Drosophila melanogaster: one gene and its partner. The protein of the gene in region 2 purifies or fractionates together with the protein of the main gene of each other region. This does not show direct contact. Each region holds a gene or a part of one and is shown on either strand. Other genes may lie near its edges.

The links.
Region 1: the proteins of Nf-YB (region 2) and Nf-YA purify together in Drosophila melanogaster (affinity purification with mass spectrometry, with the first as the bait; 2 studies listed by BioGRID). This does not show direct contact.

Annotation. Positions count from the first base shown.
Region 1 is NT_037436.4:9,439,556-9,448,100, forward strand, and holds Nf-YA (nuclear factor Y-box A), read right to left. Parts: upstream 2,713-8,545; 5' UTR 2,608-2,712; coding exon of another isoform or gene 2,569-2,607; intron 2,412-2,568; 5' UTR 2,338-2,411; coding exon 1,138-2,337; 3' UTR 501-1,137; downstream 1-500. Other genes in the region: Bet3 (blocked early in transport 3), read right to left, coding at 1-5, 2,569-2,607; Srg3 (Sting-regulated gene 3), read left to right, coding at 3,776-3,809, 6,147-6,730; CG3529 (uncharacterized protein), read left to right, coding at 7,441-7,507.
Region 2 is NT_033779.5:19,731,526-19,739,154, reverse strand, and holds Nf-YB (nuclear factor Y-box B), read right to left. Parts: upstream 3,112-7,629; 5' UTR 3,020-3,111; coding exon 2,947-3,019; intron 2,883-2,946; coding exon 2,575-2,882; intron 2,522-2,574; coding exon 2,432-2,521; 3' UTR 2,067-2,431; downstream 1-2,066. Other genes in the region: CG10462 (uncharacterized protein), read left to right, coding at 3,319-3,388, 3,522-3,643, 3,934-4,155, 4,214-4,685, 4,743-5,516, 5,565-5,992, 6,086-6,410, 6,479-6,504.

The DNA of each region.
Region 1 (8,545 bases), on a different chromosome or scaffold from region 2:
GAGTTCTGTGTTTTGATTTTTCGTTTGTTGTACAAAGGAGGAAGAGAGGAGAGAGCAGATAGCGAATAAAAATCAATCCAGAGCCAGAATAAAGCGTTTTATAGGCCTGTACCATATACAAAACTGTAGCCATTCACGAGTTCCGCAGTAAATGTATATGCTTTTTTTTTTTAATTTTATAAACTGTGTTGCATTTATTATGCGGCAAATGGTCCTCAATGGTGCTTTACCCGTTACTCGTAGATTCAAAGAGTATACTAGATTCGTTGAAAAGTATGTAACAGGCAGAAGGAAGCGTTTCCGACCATATAAAGTATATATATTTTTGATCGGAATCAGTAGCCGAGTCGATGTAACCATGTCCGTCTGTCCGTTTAAAAGAGATCTCAGGAAATATAAACGCTAAAGGGTTGATATTGAGGTTAATGATAGAGACCACGACGCAGCGCCCACAAGCCGCACAAAATTGCCACTCCCACACTTTTGAAAATTTTTTGGATATTTTTTCATAATTTTATTAGTCTTCTATCGATTTGCCAAAAAATTTGTTTGAAATTTATGAACTTTTGAAATTTCGAGTTCGCATTTCCAAAAGCTGAGTAACGGGTATCTGATAGTCGGGGAAGGCGACTATATCATTCACCCTTGTTGAATCTTATATTGTTGAGCTCTGTTGTTTTGCGGTGACTATTGGCAGCCCTTTCCCCATTCCATTTTGAAATGAACTATAAACCCTAAATTAATAATTGCATTACTTGTGTAAATTTTGAAAATGTCTAGTAAATGAAATAAATTCTCTATTTAATAATTACAAACAATTTTTAACAGCTGGCTAACAGAAAATAAATATTAGAAATTAGAAACGATTTAGAAAATGAATATAATAAGTAAAACAATTATCTCTTTCTTGAACTTATCACTTTTCCAATCTAAGTGAATGAAAATAAATAGAAAAACCCAAAAATTCCCTTTGAAAATAATATATGAAGACTTAATTTTGAAAAAAAAAAAAAATGAAAACTATGTGAGCCGACTAAAGTGGTGTGATTGAGGACAAATGGACACAGAGCGACTGGCTTAGGACTAAACGCTATGACTACAATCTTATCTAGTTTGTATCCTACAGCTAGGAGGCGACTATTCCGATTTGATCGCCGTTATGGTAATGCTGGGCGTTTGATGTGGCGCGATCAGTTTGGGCGGAGCACGTGCCGTGCCACGGCTGAGGGTGACGCCGCCACTGGACGCCATTGGCATGCTGCCGCCTTCCGGGCCGGACGAATCTTGGTCGCCCTTCTCCTGTGCCGAATGGAAGCGACCACCCTCGCCACGAGCCCGATTCATGGCGTGGCGATGACGAGATTCGTGCAGATACTTGCACCGTTCCTTGGGTATGCGCGACTCTAGCTTGGCCCTGGCCTGCCGCCGAATGAGAATACGTTTGTACTGCTTGGCATTCACATAGAGCGGCTCCTCGTCCGCCTCGCCCTTGGAGCTCTCGTCCTCGCTGTTCGTATTCGTTCCAGTTGTACTTGTGCTGACATCGGCGCTTATATTATTGACTGCAGCACTGGCAGCCACCGCCGCCACCGTCTGCTGCTGTTGCTGCTGCTGCTGGTTTTGGGTCTGGGATTGTACTTGTTGATGCTGCTGCTGTTGTTGTTGGGTAACCACTGTGCCCACTCCGGCGCCTACTCCGGCATTGGCGGCCGCTGCATTCACCGCTGCCATCGCTGTCTGCGGCACCATTATAATCTGTTGCCCAGCTGTGGGTGCCGCCTGATTAGCGCTCGGTGCTGGATTGATCTGCACCAGCTGCCCATTGATATTGAGGTAGTGCGGCGTCGGCTGGGCTGCCATGGCAGCTGCGGCGTTGGCCGCTGCATTCGGATCCAAGGCGGCAATGGTGGGCGTCTGATAGAATATAGTCTGGCCATCGGGCAGCTGCATCACCTGCATCTGTGGCTGCTGCTGCGCAGCCTGCAGCATAATCTGGTTGGCCTGCAGCGGTATCAATTGTGGCTGCAGACCCGTCGCCGTCGCCTGACCCTGTGGCTGCTGGCCAATTATGATTTGCGCCGCTCCGGTGGGCAGCATGGGCATTGGTATCACTTGGATGGGTTGTGCCGTTGCTGCGGCATTTGTGGCTCCTCCGGCTGCAGTGCTAACACTTAAATTGTTGCCGGTTGTTGCGTTGTTGTTGCTGCTGCTATTGCTGTTGTTATTGTTGTTGCCGGCGGCGGCGGCGGCGCTGGCGGCAGCACCGACGGCAGAGGCGGTGGTGCACATTCTGGGCGTGGCTGAGGGGCGACTGGTGGCGCTGAAATGGTTTTCCATTGCCTGATTGCACGTCGGCTTGTGCCTGTCTGTGTGTCCGTGTCTCAACCTCAAGCCCCCAACACACACACTTACTGGAAAAGTGAATGAAGCCGATTTTGAGGGTGGATGGCACGTCAAAGATTCGTTCTTAGGCACTATGGCACAAATCTAACCTTACAACTAGATCTATGCCTCCAAATGACTAACGATACCGATCTTGCGCTGTTCTCTCTTCTTTGGCCAACTTACCACTTTCTTGGCGTCCAAACGAGAGGCTTGTCGTGACATTTTCCGGCTGTTTACGTTTGGATATTTAACAATTGAAAATAAAATTTTCTGTTTTTCCTAGTTTTACAGAGCAGGGTTGTCAGGGTACAATGCTGAAACACATCAAAATTGGCCAGGGCTGCAAGCGCTGTGCATATCGGTTGGCGTCACGGGAAAAGTGAAAGTATCGCTCAAAGTCGCAGTTATATTTAAAATTTTTGAAAAAGTATTGTAAGAGTCCAAAAAAATAATAAATGTGTGCAGCAGTTTAAAAAGAATGCACATATATTCAAAAACGTATTTTTTTTTGCTATATTAATATGTTATCAGTATAATAAATTTATTTAATAAATACATTAATTAATAAATTTGCGCTAACGTTATTTGGGAGTAAATTCCCAAGAATAAAAATGCAAAAATGTTTCAAAATGGCAGATCTAACTATCTATGTACTACTTATAGGGCTCAAGAAAGTAAAAAAATAATGCGATAGAATAATCGGCTCCCCAACATTTTGCACGCTAGACCTCCTCAAACCTTAACTCCTCAGACCTTAAGGACATTTCAGGAATATTTCATTAAATTAAAAAATCATTAAAAATTTTCCACTGTTTTTGAGATAATAACATAACAGTGGGAGGAGTTTAAGATCCGCCCTCTTTAGTACCAATACCACAACCAATCCATGTCATGAACCGCTTTATTAACAATAAGATTTCTGCAATAGATCTGCAACATTAAGATTTCAGTGGGAGGGACAGTGGGTGGGACAGTCGGCTATATTTAAATGCTGCAAAACTCCAATTTATCCCCGGCGATGACTCCTGTCCTTCTGTCCTTCCGGTGCTTTCGTCCTTCTGACGGGGTATCCAAAAATATAAAAAGAAATTAATGCTAGTTTAAAATTAAATGCTATTTGTAAAAATAATTAAAATATTGTGCCATATGTTAATGTTACCAGTCCATGTCACTCAAGAAAAGTACTTAACTTAAAATACTTATACTAAACGCTATGACCCAACCCCCATACTCACCACAGCAATGTTAGATTAAAAAATTTAATAAATTGTACTTATATATATTGCATGGCTGCAGAACATATATCATTCAGTCTCCGTACTTCCACCAGTGAAAATACCATAACATAAAATAACCAGTGAAAATAACTATAATAAATAACTCCACCGCAATGGGAAATATTTCCTCCAATATTAGGGCCATAGGTATGAAACCTATGGAACCTTTAATAATTTTAGTGAACTCTAGTTCTCCGTATTTTTTTCAATTTGTATCTTATTTTGGATAATGTTCGTTACATTTTAATAATAATAATATATTTAATTATAATGCCACGTAAATTGCGAGGTTTCTGATCCGAAAGATATAATTACAACACCAAAAAGTGTGGCAAGTGTACATACATACAGTTTGTCAAGAAACTGTTTACACACTGTAAAATAAGTTGAATTTTTGACTTTAAAGCTAAAAATAAAGGGTTTTTTGCTTAATTAAACGCAATTTTTTTATAAAATATAATTAAACAATATTTATTTTACTTATAAATCAAAAAACAAATTAAAAATATTAAATATACAAGAAAATAAACAACAAATTCCAAGTGTACACACTTTTGAGACTGTCAAGAAACTCTTTACACAAAACACTAAATCGAAGTTTAAACCTAAATTTTTTAATTATTTTATTAAAATTTTAAAAGTTTTGGTATGTAGTATGTTCCCCATTGGCTTTAGCTACAAGTTGAAGCCTTTTTTTCATGGATTGGACAAGTTTTTGCAGGTCATATTCAAACGGGATCTTTTCACACTCTTCGACTATTACAGTCATAAGCTGTTGTTGTGTTTTAGGTCCCTTTTTGCCACCTTCTTCTTTAAGTAGGTCCACAAATTTTCAATGGGGTTCAGATCAGGACTCTGAGGGGGCGTATCGATCACTTTACCACAGTTATAAGGGCGCCAGGTGCGTACATTGCACTCTTTATGTTTCTTATCATGTCCTGGTAAAACATAAAATTTGGCTTGTTGTTGCTAACTAGACCAAATTTTTCTGCACTGGCCTTCAAATTTTTTTTTTTAATTCCTAGATATTGCACGGCATTTATTGTGCTCTCAATTAAGGCTAGTTTTCCCACTCCACGGCTGGTGATACAGCCCCAAACCATCAGTGACATTTTTCCAAATTTTATTGTTGGAATGATATTTTGTTTTTCTAGCGCACTCAACGGTTTGCGCCATACTCTGCTTGGCCCGTCGTTATAAAAGAGCATCATATTTGTTTTGTCACAAAATATGACGTCATCCCAGTACTCTTCCGCATGATCCATCATGCTCATAGCGAATAAATGACGCTTTTCAATATTGGCATCTGATAGCAAAGGGTTTTTCCTTGCAACTCTTGAAGAGTACCTATGGCGTAGGATGACTTGGCGCACAGTTTCGTGTGACACAGTTAGGTGACATTCTTGCCTGATATCCAGAGCAAGTGATCTGACCGAGATTCGGGGGTTCGCAATCACTATTCGCATAATAAAGCGGTCTACACGCTTTTTAATTTTAATTTTCCGCCCACCACCACTCTTAGGTTCAAGCCTGCCCTCTTTTTCCGAGCCTTTTAAAACATTGTAGACGGTCTTACGGGATACAGGAAACATTTATACTAATTCTGGAAAAGATTTTCCCAACTGGTGGTTATAGTTTATTAATTGGGTAACTTCAAAAGTTAATCTCTTTCCAGGCATTTTATTAAATTTAATAATTCGCTTTAAGCACGTTTGATCAGCAAAATTTCACAAGCAAAGTCAACAAATTTCAATAGAAGCGTTGTAAAAAGCAATGTAAAGCCAAAAATAACGGAAAAATCGAGTTCGTTCTAAGAAAAAGAACAAAACAAAGTAGGAAAACAAAATGTGTAAAGAGTTTCTTGACAGTCTCAAAAGTGTGTAAACTTGGAATTTGTTGTTTATTTTCTTGTATATTTAATATTTTTAATTTGTTTTTTGATTTATAAGTAAAATAAATATTGTTTAATTATATTTTATAAAAAAATTGCGTTTAATTAAGCAAAAAACCCTTTATTTTTAGCTTTAAAGTCAAAAATTCAACTTATTTCACAGTGTGTAAACAGTTTCTTGACAAACTGTATGTGTCGCAAAGAATTCCGGGGAAAAACACGTTTCTTCTCAGTTTATACCCTACGTGCGAGGCATATGATTTGTCCTATCAGCCTGTTGGAACCGCTAACTCATATATTCCTTAATCTAACCAAAAACAAATTTTGCGTCGTATTTGTGAATAATGCACCGATTGATTTGATTGATTGCTTTAAGAGCGGCAGAGAGCAAAGATTACAGATAATAGGATAATGACTATTATAGTCAGAACACAATATTCTGTAAGAATCATGCAACTTATAGTTAGATCTAAATGGGCTTAAGATTATGGGTCTTGGAACAGAGAAGTTTAGCCGACTAACCAAGTCGGGACTATCAAAATATAAGTCTCAAAGCCTCACTCACTAATATACCCTACGTTCTCTTCTTTCAGAGGACGAATCCTATGAACTGTCCTCGGAAATCTGGGCCGTCGACATGGAGATCACTGACAGCGAGACCGACGACGTGCCCGTCAGCAGGAGCGTTAGCGTCAGCGCGAACGTCAGCGGGAACGTCAGCGGGAACGTCAGCGGGAAAGTCAGCGGGAACGCTAGAGGAGCCTTCAGCGGGACCCTCAGCCAGACCGTCAGCGCTACCGTCAGCGGGACCGTCAGCGCGACCGTCATTGGATTGGTCATCAACGAGTTCGTTCCAATGCCATTCAGTGGGACTCTCAGCGGGATCCTCAGCGGAACCCTCAGCGGGACCGTCGAAGGGACCATCAGCCGGACCGTCGACGGGGCCGTCAGCACGACCGGCAGCGGAACCATCGAAGGGACCGTCAGCGGAACCGTCAAGGGGACCGTCCGTGGGGCTATCAACGGGACCATCAGCGGAACCATCAGTGGGACCGCCAGCGGTACCGTCAGAAGGACCGCTGACGGAAAGCTCATTTTTGAGACAGGTGCAAGGTTGAACAATCGAAAATTCATTATCCACGAAATCTGTGGAATGAATTGTGAAATAACTCTTTGAAATTACAAAGTTTTTGAGATACATAACACGCTCTGTGAACAACCATGACTATGAGGTACCCGTTACTCAGCTAGTCGGATTGCGAATAAAATGAGAAAAAATTAAAATTGTTTAAAGATGTGGGTGTGATTACAATCCAAAAGGTGCAAGGTGCAAGGTGAACAATAAAACTAAGAACAATCTAATGTGGGCGTTGGAGTGGTCATGGAAACATGGGTCAACAATCTTGGGCTGCGTCTATGTCTCTGGAATCTGCACGCTTAATCTAAACATTCTAGCTTAAATAGTTCCTGAGATCTCGACGTTCAAACGTACAGACAGGCGGACATCGCCAGATCGACTCGGCTACTGATCCTGATCAAGAATATATATACTTTATATGGTCTGCCTGTTACATACTTTTCAACGAATCTAATAAACCCTTTTACTCTACGAGTAACGGGTATAACTATGTCATTATCTCAAAAACTGTGGATAATTCTTTTAAATAAAATGAAATAAAATGCTGCAGCCCTGGAAAAAAACCTATTCCTATTTACCCACTTATTGTAATGCATTTCTTTGTGGGTATTTTTCGCTGAGGCCAGCCATGGTCACTCTGCTGTAGACAAGTGCATAAACATTTCATCCAGGTGAACAAAAAGTAAATAAAGAACAATTTTAACCGCACTGCAACCCAACGGCGAGCATTAATAAGAAACTTCTCCACGATGGCTTCATTTTTCAACGTTGGCGCCTTGGGAAATGTTTTCTCCACTCCAGTTGGCCAGCGCATAGGTGAGTAAACCACCCTCCCCCCTCCAGCGTAAAAAAAACACCCACCGGAAGCGGGGGTGTGTGTATATGTGGTTAAAGCGTAATATTTTCCACAAATACAACGCATATGCGTTGATATTTACGCATTTACATTGATAGTTATCTGATTAGAGGACGCTTCAAGGCAGTCCCAATCAGACTGGGCCATTGGAAAATTGAATTTTCACAACTTTCTTCGTGCGTTTGCTTGTTTTCTTGTTTTGTTGTTGGTCTCTCACACACACGCGCACATTTCCATGTAGCGATACTCATTTGTTGTTGCCAGACCATTACTATGGCAAAGCGGTCTGATTTGATTTGAAAGGCGGTGGCAACAACGGTGGGCCTCTGATAAGATTAACCCTTATATGAGTATGCGGTTCCAACAGGCAGGTGTGACAAATCAGATAAATGTTTGTTGGTATGCTTTATGAAATTGCTCACCTTTTGGCACGCACACAAAGAGTATTGTTATTGATGCGCTCTTTTATTGTTTGATTGCCTGTTTTCCCTTCACCCCCTCCTGGCGGCCACCTGTTTTGCGCCCTTAGTAATCGCAATTAGTCATCGTTGCCGCTGGCCGCTGGGTTACATAAAAAAATGTGTTAATTTATTTCGTGTTCCCCTTTGGCTCGCATTTTCGCCATAATTTCCATTTGCCGCTGCACACACAACAAACACAGATACACACATTTACGTGCAATCGTGCATATGTATTAGTGCCGTACTAATTTGTTGCTTCGCTTTTTTTATGAGCTCACATTTTGTTATTGTATTGCGGTTGGTTAGCTTTTCCCATATCTCCTATATCTGTTGGATATCAGTGTTACGATATCTGATATCTGAGAAATACACTTTGCGCAATGGTTTCGTTTTGGATTTAAACAAATTGCTTTGTGCATTTTTAATTCGAGCAAGTCATTGCACTTGGTAGATCCTAAATTATAAACGAAAGATAATGCTCGCCCACCTGTTAAAAAACACAGTTTCAGCCGCCCATAAAAACAAACAAAGGAATGC
Region 2 (7,629 bases):
ACTTGGAGCGCGAATTTCATGGGGTTTTTGTCAGTTAATACTCTGCTATTCAGGCAATCAAAGTAATCATTAACTTTTTGGACAAATGCAGCCGTAGAAGCTGCAACTTCGGAACTATTTCGATGTAATTGCTTGTTTTGGTTACAAGTCTTAATTGCCGCTGCAACAGTGTGGCTAAGTGTTTGAGTTGCCAAACATACGCGCATTAGATCAAATCTGGTTGGATTAACGTGACTCCTTGTTAATTTAGTCATTCTCGTTACTGATCCATGATCTAATTCGTAAACCTCTCGAATGACATCAAAGTCAACTAGTCCGTCAGGGGTTTCAAAATTAGCTCTTAGAAAATTATTCCTTACAGACTTGAAAAGATGCGGAATGTCATAAAACATATAATATTTTTTATTATTTAAGGTAAAGTAAGATTTCTCATTGGTGACTTTAAGTAATGAGGTACATTTTCTATTGTTACCTCCTTGATCGTACACAACACCCCTTACTTTGAACCCAATTGTTTCAGCAATAATAATATTTTTATAAATAAGACTTTTTAAGCAATCGCCTTTTATATTCGTTTCGGCCACAAAATAGTTTAATATAAATTTCCATTTTTTTTAAATACCCCGAACAACAAATACGCAAATATGGCTTAGGATTTTATTAGAGCGATCAAGTAAATGCTCTATTCCATCTATTATATCAACTGACACATTGTAAGTTAGGTTTTTTTTATCGCTACTTCATCACAAGCCAATATGCACTCTTTATCAGATGCATTCATTTCTTTTATAGATTCTTTAAGGGCTGAGTACAAACATTCGTTGTCTCCTGGCTGTAACTTTTTTATGCTGTTCCACTTTTGCAAAGATGATGGACTTGGAAAATTTAATTTCAGCGAGTCTCTTAAGAACGTATATGTCGAAGTGGACCTGTAATATATGCTCTGAGCAAACAATTTTTTTTTCCATCTTGTATTTGTGCCCTTTTTTCCTTAAAAAGCATTTTCGTTAATATTTTTTCATTTCCTGTTAAATTAATTTTATCTATTTCAGAATATATGTTTTTTTCGGTCTTAGATTCCAACCTAACTTATTTTTTTTTTAGGTTTGAGTTTTCTTTCCTCAGCATTTTAATTCTAAACTGTCTCTCTAATTTGTCTTTGTAAAATAAATAAAAATATGAAAACTGTTTATTGCAAAAGTCACATCAAAGACACTAGAATTATTCTAGTGTCTTTGTTTTGGTCATATCTTGAGGCACGAAGTGCGGACACAAGCACTCAACAATCATTGCCTTATTAATTTTTCACACGCCGCAAGCTGAATACTCTAATGACAAATATTCTAATATAAAGTAATTTTTGAAATTTATTTTGTTATGATATGTACATGGATTTGGCTATTTCTAATCTGTTTTCAAATAATAATAACGTTAAGGCAATGCAAACAAGAATTTTTCGCATGATGCCAATTGATCAAAAATAATATAGATTTAAAGTCTAAGAACTTCTACGGTGAAGGGCATATTTTGTCAAATTTACAATGCATGAGCATACGTGTGCACACATAAAGTTGTCTGTTATCACTGTATGCGTAGAAAAGAGCTGTTCGCTGTAGCGCTCTTCGCTCTCTCGCTCTCTAACAAAAATTCCAGAGAGCCTGGAGCCACCTCTAGAGCCACGGCAAAAAAATCGTGTGCCAAAAAATCGTATGGCGTTACGCATCTTGTTATTCTAGTGTCTTTGGTAAAAAGGTGGGCAGTGCCATCGCTTCGCTTGAGAAGGGCGCCCTTGGGATCGAAAACGCTCCACTCGTAATTTACGAAAGTGAGTGGATAGCCAAGAAGAGAAAGCCTCCGTCCCGGTTTCCTAGGGCAGTGAAGGATACCGGCTAGGATAATATAATTTTTAGCAGATTGCTTGTATTACTTTCTATTACTTATGTAAGTATGTGAATGTCGTTCCTTGTCAGCTACAGCTACGGAAAATGATCTACAATTAAGATAACTCGTAAAATGTTTTTAATATTTCACAATATTAGCCCTTACCAACAACAAATCTAGTTTTTATATTAATGTTTACTAAATAAACATATTTATTTTATATAAGAGTATCAGTAATTTGGCTTAATGGGCCCGCGATACATAAATTCATGTTTGCTACCAGTACCAAGACCTAAATATTGAATTTGACTATGTATCGGGAGAGTAAAAATGGATTTATGCATATAAAATCTGTGGTTACAATTAAAATAAAATCATATATCATATATACAAAATAAAAAATTAAATAATCAGAAAGAATAGTAATGATAATATTAACTTAAATAGTCAATCAAGGTGTACTGTTAGGATTAAACAAAACACTTTGAATTAGACAAATATTTCCTTAATGTCAAAAGAACCTTAACTAACAGGGTAAGTAAGAAAGGGGTTACTGTTTCCCCGCATCGTTTGCGGAGGACCCATCTTCGTTGTGCGGATAACTGGCGTCCAGAAAGAGATTACGATCCGATTTGTTCGACTGCAATGGGTTACTTGGTTATTAACTGCTGTGCATAGCGTAATCTCACTGACCTCTCGGTACTTTTGCAGGTAAATGGACAGTGGTTCCACGTAATTGTCGAATCCCAGATTGCTGAACGCCACCAGCAGGTCGTCCCCGTTGACTGTCTTGCGATTCTCCGCGACGCTACGTTCGATGGCCTCACTGCTAATGAAGGATATGAACTCGGAGACACACTCCTGGATGCACTCTCGTGCATCCTTGGCTATCTTGCCGTTCTGGGGCACCGGAACCTTCATGATCTTAATGATGTTGCAGATGGGCAGAAATCGGTCCTGTTCGCGTAGCATTATCCCTCCATCCTGTTTGTCCGAATCGTCTGCGGGGGTGAAAAATCAAAGTCAAGCAACAAAACACGCGGTTGTGGATGGTCTTTTGTTTACCGCCGGACGCCTCGTCCTCCTCCTTGACCAGCATGTCGTTCAGATACTGCTGCGAGTCCTCGCTATTGCTCATATCTTGGATTTTTAACAGATTTCTTCAACGGATTTGCTTTTGTTTACTTTCCCAAATTGCGAGGGCTATCGTCAATCGATAACCACCCCAAGTGGTGAAGGCTGACCGCTCCACCCGATAATTGCGCCACTTGATCTGGCAACGCCGCGCCTATCGATAGTCGTCTTCTGATCGCAGCGGTATACAGCGGTATTTATTGCGCTGCTGCTCTCTTCTTTATATTGATAGTTGTTGATCTGATATCCTCTGATCAGAACGGAATTCTCGCGAATTTGGCGCTGGCCAAGGGGGAAATTGACATGGAGGACATCAAGATCAAGATGGAGCCGCAGGACGAAGTGACGGACAGTTCAATCAGAATTCTGAGCGGTAAGCTTGCATGCTCTCCTCCCACATGCGTGTGTGTGAGTGCTGCTGGGCGCCGTAGTGTTGGTGTCTCTGCTATTCTATTACGCACTTTACCGTTAACTTTTAATTCTTTCTAAATTCGGCCAATTTATAGCATGTGATACGCTGAAAATTTTGGACGAGGGATCTCAAATGATAACAGTGCCGATCAGGGATCGTTTGCGTTCCGAGGACGAGCGCCTATTTATCGCCAGCCTGGAACTCGGCCACCAACAGGTAAAAAATATACATGTACATAACCTAAAAAAGCACAAGGGTCGCGTGGTAGCGTGGAGATTCCGTTACGGGATCTAAATATTAATCGAAAGGAAGACATAACTGTCATAAATCTAAACATATATATTAAACATTTTGTCATAATTTTACAAAGTATCATATTTAGGCTGCATAATAAATGTAAATATATGTAATCATAATTATCTATCTAAATTCAAGCTACATGTATATGTACGATTTTTGCTAACGCATTAATACAAAATTTAATCAGCTAATACTTACACCCCCAGATATTTGCGTCTGAATCGGAGGACAACCCAAATCCAAAACATTGCGATATTTGCCAGTACAAGTTTAAAAGCCAACAGGATATATCAAGTCACCGGGTTCATCACGAAATGAACCTACATTTTTGTCGCCTGGGCTGTGGTATCTGGCTGGACACGCTTGAAAAGATCCTTGAGCATGAATATCGCCAGCATTTCCAGCCAGGGCGTGTGTTGTGCTGTAGGGTGAGCTCATCTGCATTTAACTTTTATACACACATTGATTAAACAGTGAACGTTTTAGGTTTGCGATTTTATGGCCAATAGCGCGGACGATCTGGCCAGCCATATGCAAAAGCACATTTACGTATATCGCTTTGTTTGCTCCATTTGTCGTCGGCATTTTGAGTCCAAACAGAGCCTCAATCTGCATAGGAAGCAGAGCCAGGACTTTTGCAGCCTGCTGGATTTCAGAAAGGGGTCATCATCAAAGCCGGAACTTGTGGCAGTTAGTACGCCGGTACCTGAAGAGTCGAATTGCTATGTGCAAATAAAAGAAGAGCCACTTAACGCAGAGGAAGCAGACCGAATGCTATTGGAAGACAACCCTCCACTCAATGTAAAATTGGAACCACAGGACGAGGAAATGCCAGATGTGAGTAGGATTAAGGAGGAACAGTCAAATGGTAGCGTCTGGACAGCCATACATACTCCGTTGAGGAATAAACTGCGCCTGCCTGCTCTGGCCACTACCAAAAATCAGATGCACTTAAAACGTAAGTTCTTTGCAATTAATAACAAAAGTAGTTACATAATTATTACTACCTTCTCAGCAGGTGTTAAGCGAAATGGACTACTAACGTCTAATGTGGAATCTCTTAACAAGAAATCCAATCACTCAGTGATATCCGATGATGCGAATATTCCGATTTCCAACCAAGAACCTTCAAATTCCTCAATTGCAGCCAATATACTGAAAGTGTTACCTAGTAACTGCATGGTCATCAAGTTGCCTCCCAACACAAAAATTTTTAAGACGCCAGGTCAAGCTCCGGCTGCCCCTAAGGACTCTCCCACCGTAACTCTGAGTGGTACGGAGAATTCAACCAATTTCATAAAGATTCCGAAGACGATAAGTATAAGTACTGTCGGTTCCATGGGTAATCCTCATGCGTCTGCTAAGACTGTGCAACCAACCCAAACTCACAGTCGATCATCGTGCTTTCTTGTCGACTCGTTTAACAATTCCAAGAGCAGACCCGAATCCATGAAGATAATCAATGAATTTCGTAATCAAATTCGGTCCATAGAGAAGACATTGCCACTGCCGGGAACAGTGCTACAATCCTCGAAAGTAACGATGGATGAATCAACGTCGTCTCCCATGGATGCACCCAAACCCGTAGAACTGATGCTCAACCCGTCGGCTTTAATGGTGGCCAGGGAACTGGAGATCCAATACCCGCTATATCGATTTATGTGGACTTGTCCGCTATGCCAGCGAATGTTTGAGAAGCATTGCGCATTTCGTGCGCATCTGACTAACAAGCACGACTTAACCGATGAAAAGTGTAACGTCCTTAAAGTGGTTTTAATGCCTTCTAAAAGTAAGTAAACTAAAATTTTGAACGTGCTCGTTTTAATTGCCCTTGCAGTACTTTCACAGGACTCAGCAAATGCTGCAACTCAAAGAGTGCATGTGCCATTGAATCCACAAACGCCTGTGCCTCCTCCAGAACTACCCAATACTGTTAATTTGCCTTTATTGCTAAGTAAAACGTCTGCTCCATTAACAGGCCAGACATCAGCACTATCCAATGTGCCTGTTAACAAAGGTTTATCCCCGACAAGTATAAATATAGAAAAACCAAAGGTCTCCAAGAAGCCCAAAAAAAATCAGTCGTTCCAGTGCACCGAATGCTTAAAAGTGTTTACTACTTTTGGAGCCTTGCGCATTCACAAGTCCATACACACGGGGGAACTGCCTTACCAGTGCAGCTACTGTGACAAACGTTTCCGAACTCCTGGACAAGTGCGGGTACACCACCGTCGTCACACCGGAGAGAAACCATTTAAGTGCAAGGTGAGAAGGTATAAGAATTGAGCCTATGCTTACCTTAGCGAAATTAGACATTTGTTAATTGATTTATTGCAATTTTCTGTTTCCCCTTTGCAGATATGCTCGTTAGACTTTACTCACCGGGAAACTTTAATTTCCCATCTATCACGGCATATTGGGATGAAGCGGTATAAATGCTACGGATGCGATAAATACTTTGTAGTTGTCAGCGGCTTACGAGCTCATCGTCGTCTCCGGCCAGACACCTGTGGGAAGGTTAAGTTCACCGCTCGAGCCCATGGTCCCCGCGTGCGGGTCATCAGGGGAGAGGTGGTGTTCCAGTATCACCCAGAGCACAACGGCTACTTACGCAGTGAGGACCCGCTCAACATTTTGTCCCAACGTGATCAAACCAACTCAACCCCGCCAGAAACTGCAATAGGTAAGTCGTTATCAGTGAGTTGTTTATTTATTTTATGAAATATTGTCTTTTTTAAACTGGCTCATAAGATACAGGAAATGCGATTAGGAACTAGAAAGGAACATTGCAGGATGGTATTGAAAATTCGCTATAAAGTCTGGAGAGGTATTCCCACGGAATAGTGCAGGAAAGGGTCTGGCTACTCATTGTATTAAGATTCAAATGAATTAATTAATAATGGCAATTACTTTTGAAATACATTCTATTCAAATGTGGACGTGTATGTTGACCGTGAAGGAAGATGGCTATGTTTATTGTTAGCTTGAATACCAAACGAGACCATCATTGTAAGGAATATGGATATGGACGTGACAAAGTATTTGGCGGCACCACAGGGCTCACAGACTCATCATAGTTGGCTCGTAAAATCTTACTTGGAAAGCACTACCCCACCAGCCGATTGACCAGAGATTGCTCCCTCTGATTACAATTTTTCCTCATGATGGCTCATGGCTTGGCAGGCTTCTTCGTCTATGATGTATTCAAAAATGGATCTGTTAATGGATTCGTCAGAAAGACAAAAATAAAAAAAAAACAAAAGTAGTGGCTAGCGATAAAGAAAATACTTTGTAATGATGTAAAAGTATAAAATAAACTACCATCAAATACCTTTTGAAGGGTAAATTAAAGGCTCTAAACGGTTTTTATTTTCGTCTTTTATTATTTTTCATCATTCAGTTTGCAGTTTTTTGAAAATGATATATTATTTGCATGGTATTTTTAAACATAATATGACATTCTTACCCATACTTTAATGCGAAATACATACGCTCTTCTGTTTGCTTGATTAGTATAATCATTATATTGTTTGCTTGTTTGTGTATCGTATGACCTTTAAAATTGTTTTATCTTTCTATTTCGTAAAACATACAAAACAATTAATTATCTTAACAAAACTTGACAAGCCGGCAGATTGTGTAATATACAATATAATCGTACATTTCAATTTATGTATATGTTACGTGTAATACGATTGCAACTCTCTGCGGGGGTACCATTATCTAGACATCTATTTTTGCTAGCGCTATAGTTTAATTTAGTATCTCTCGGTTTATTCCAAATACGCCCAGCCGTCCAACATCGTCTCAAAATTTACTACTTCCTAACACTTCCGATCCAATTGGCAGGGGCAACATGCTAGAGTAGTTATAACAAATACCTTTATTTCGTATAAATATTT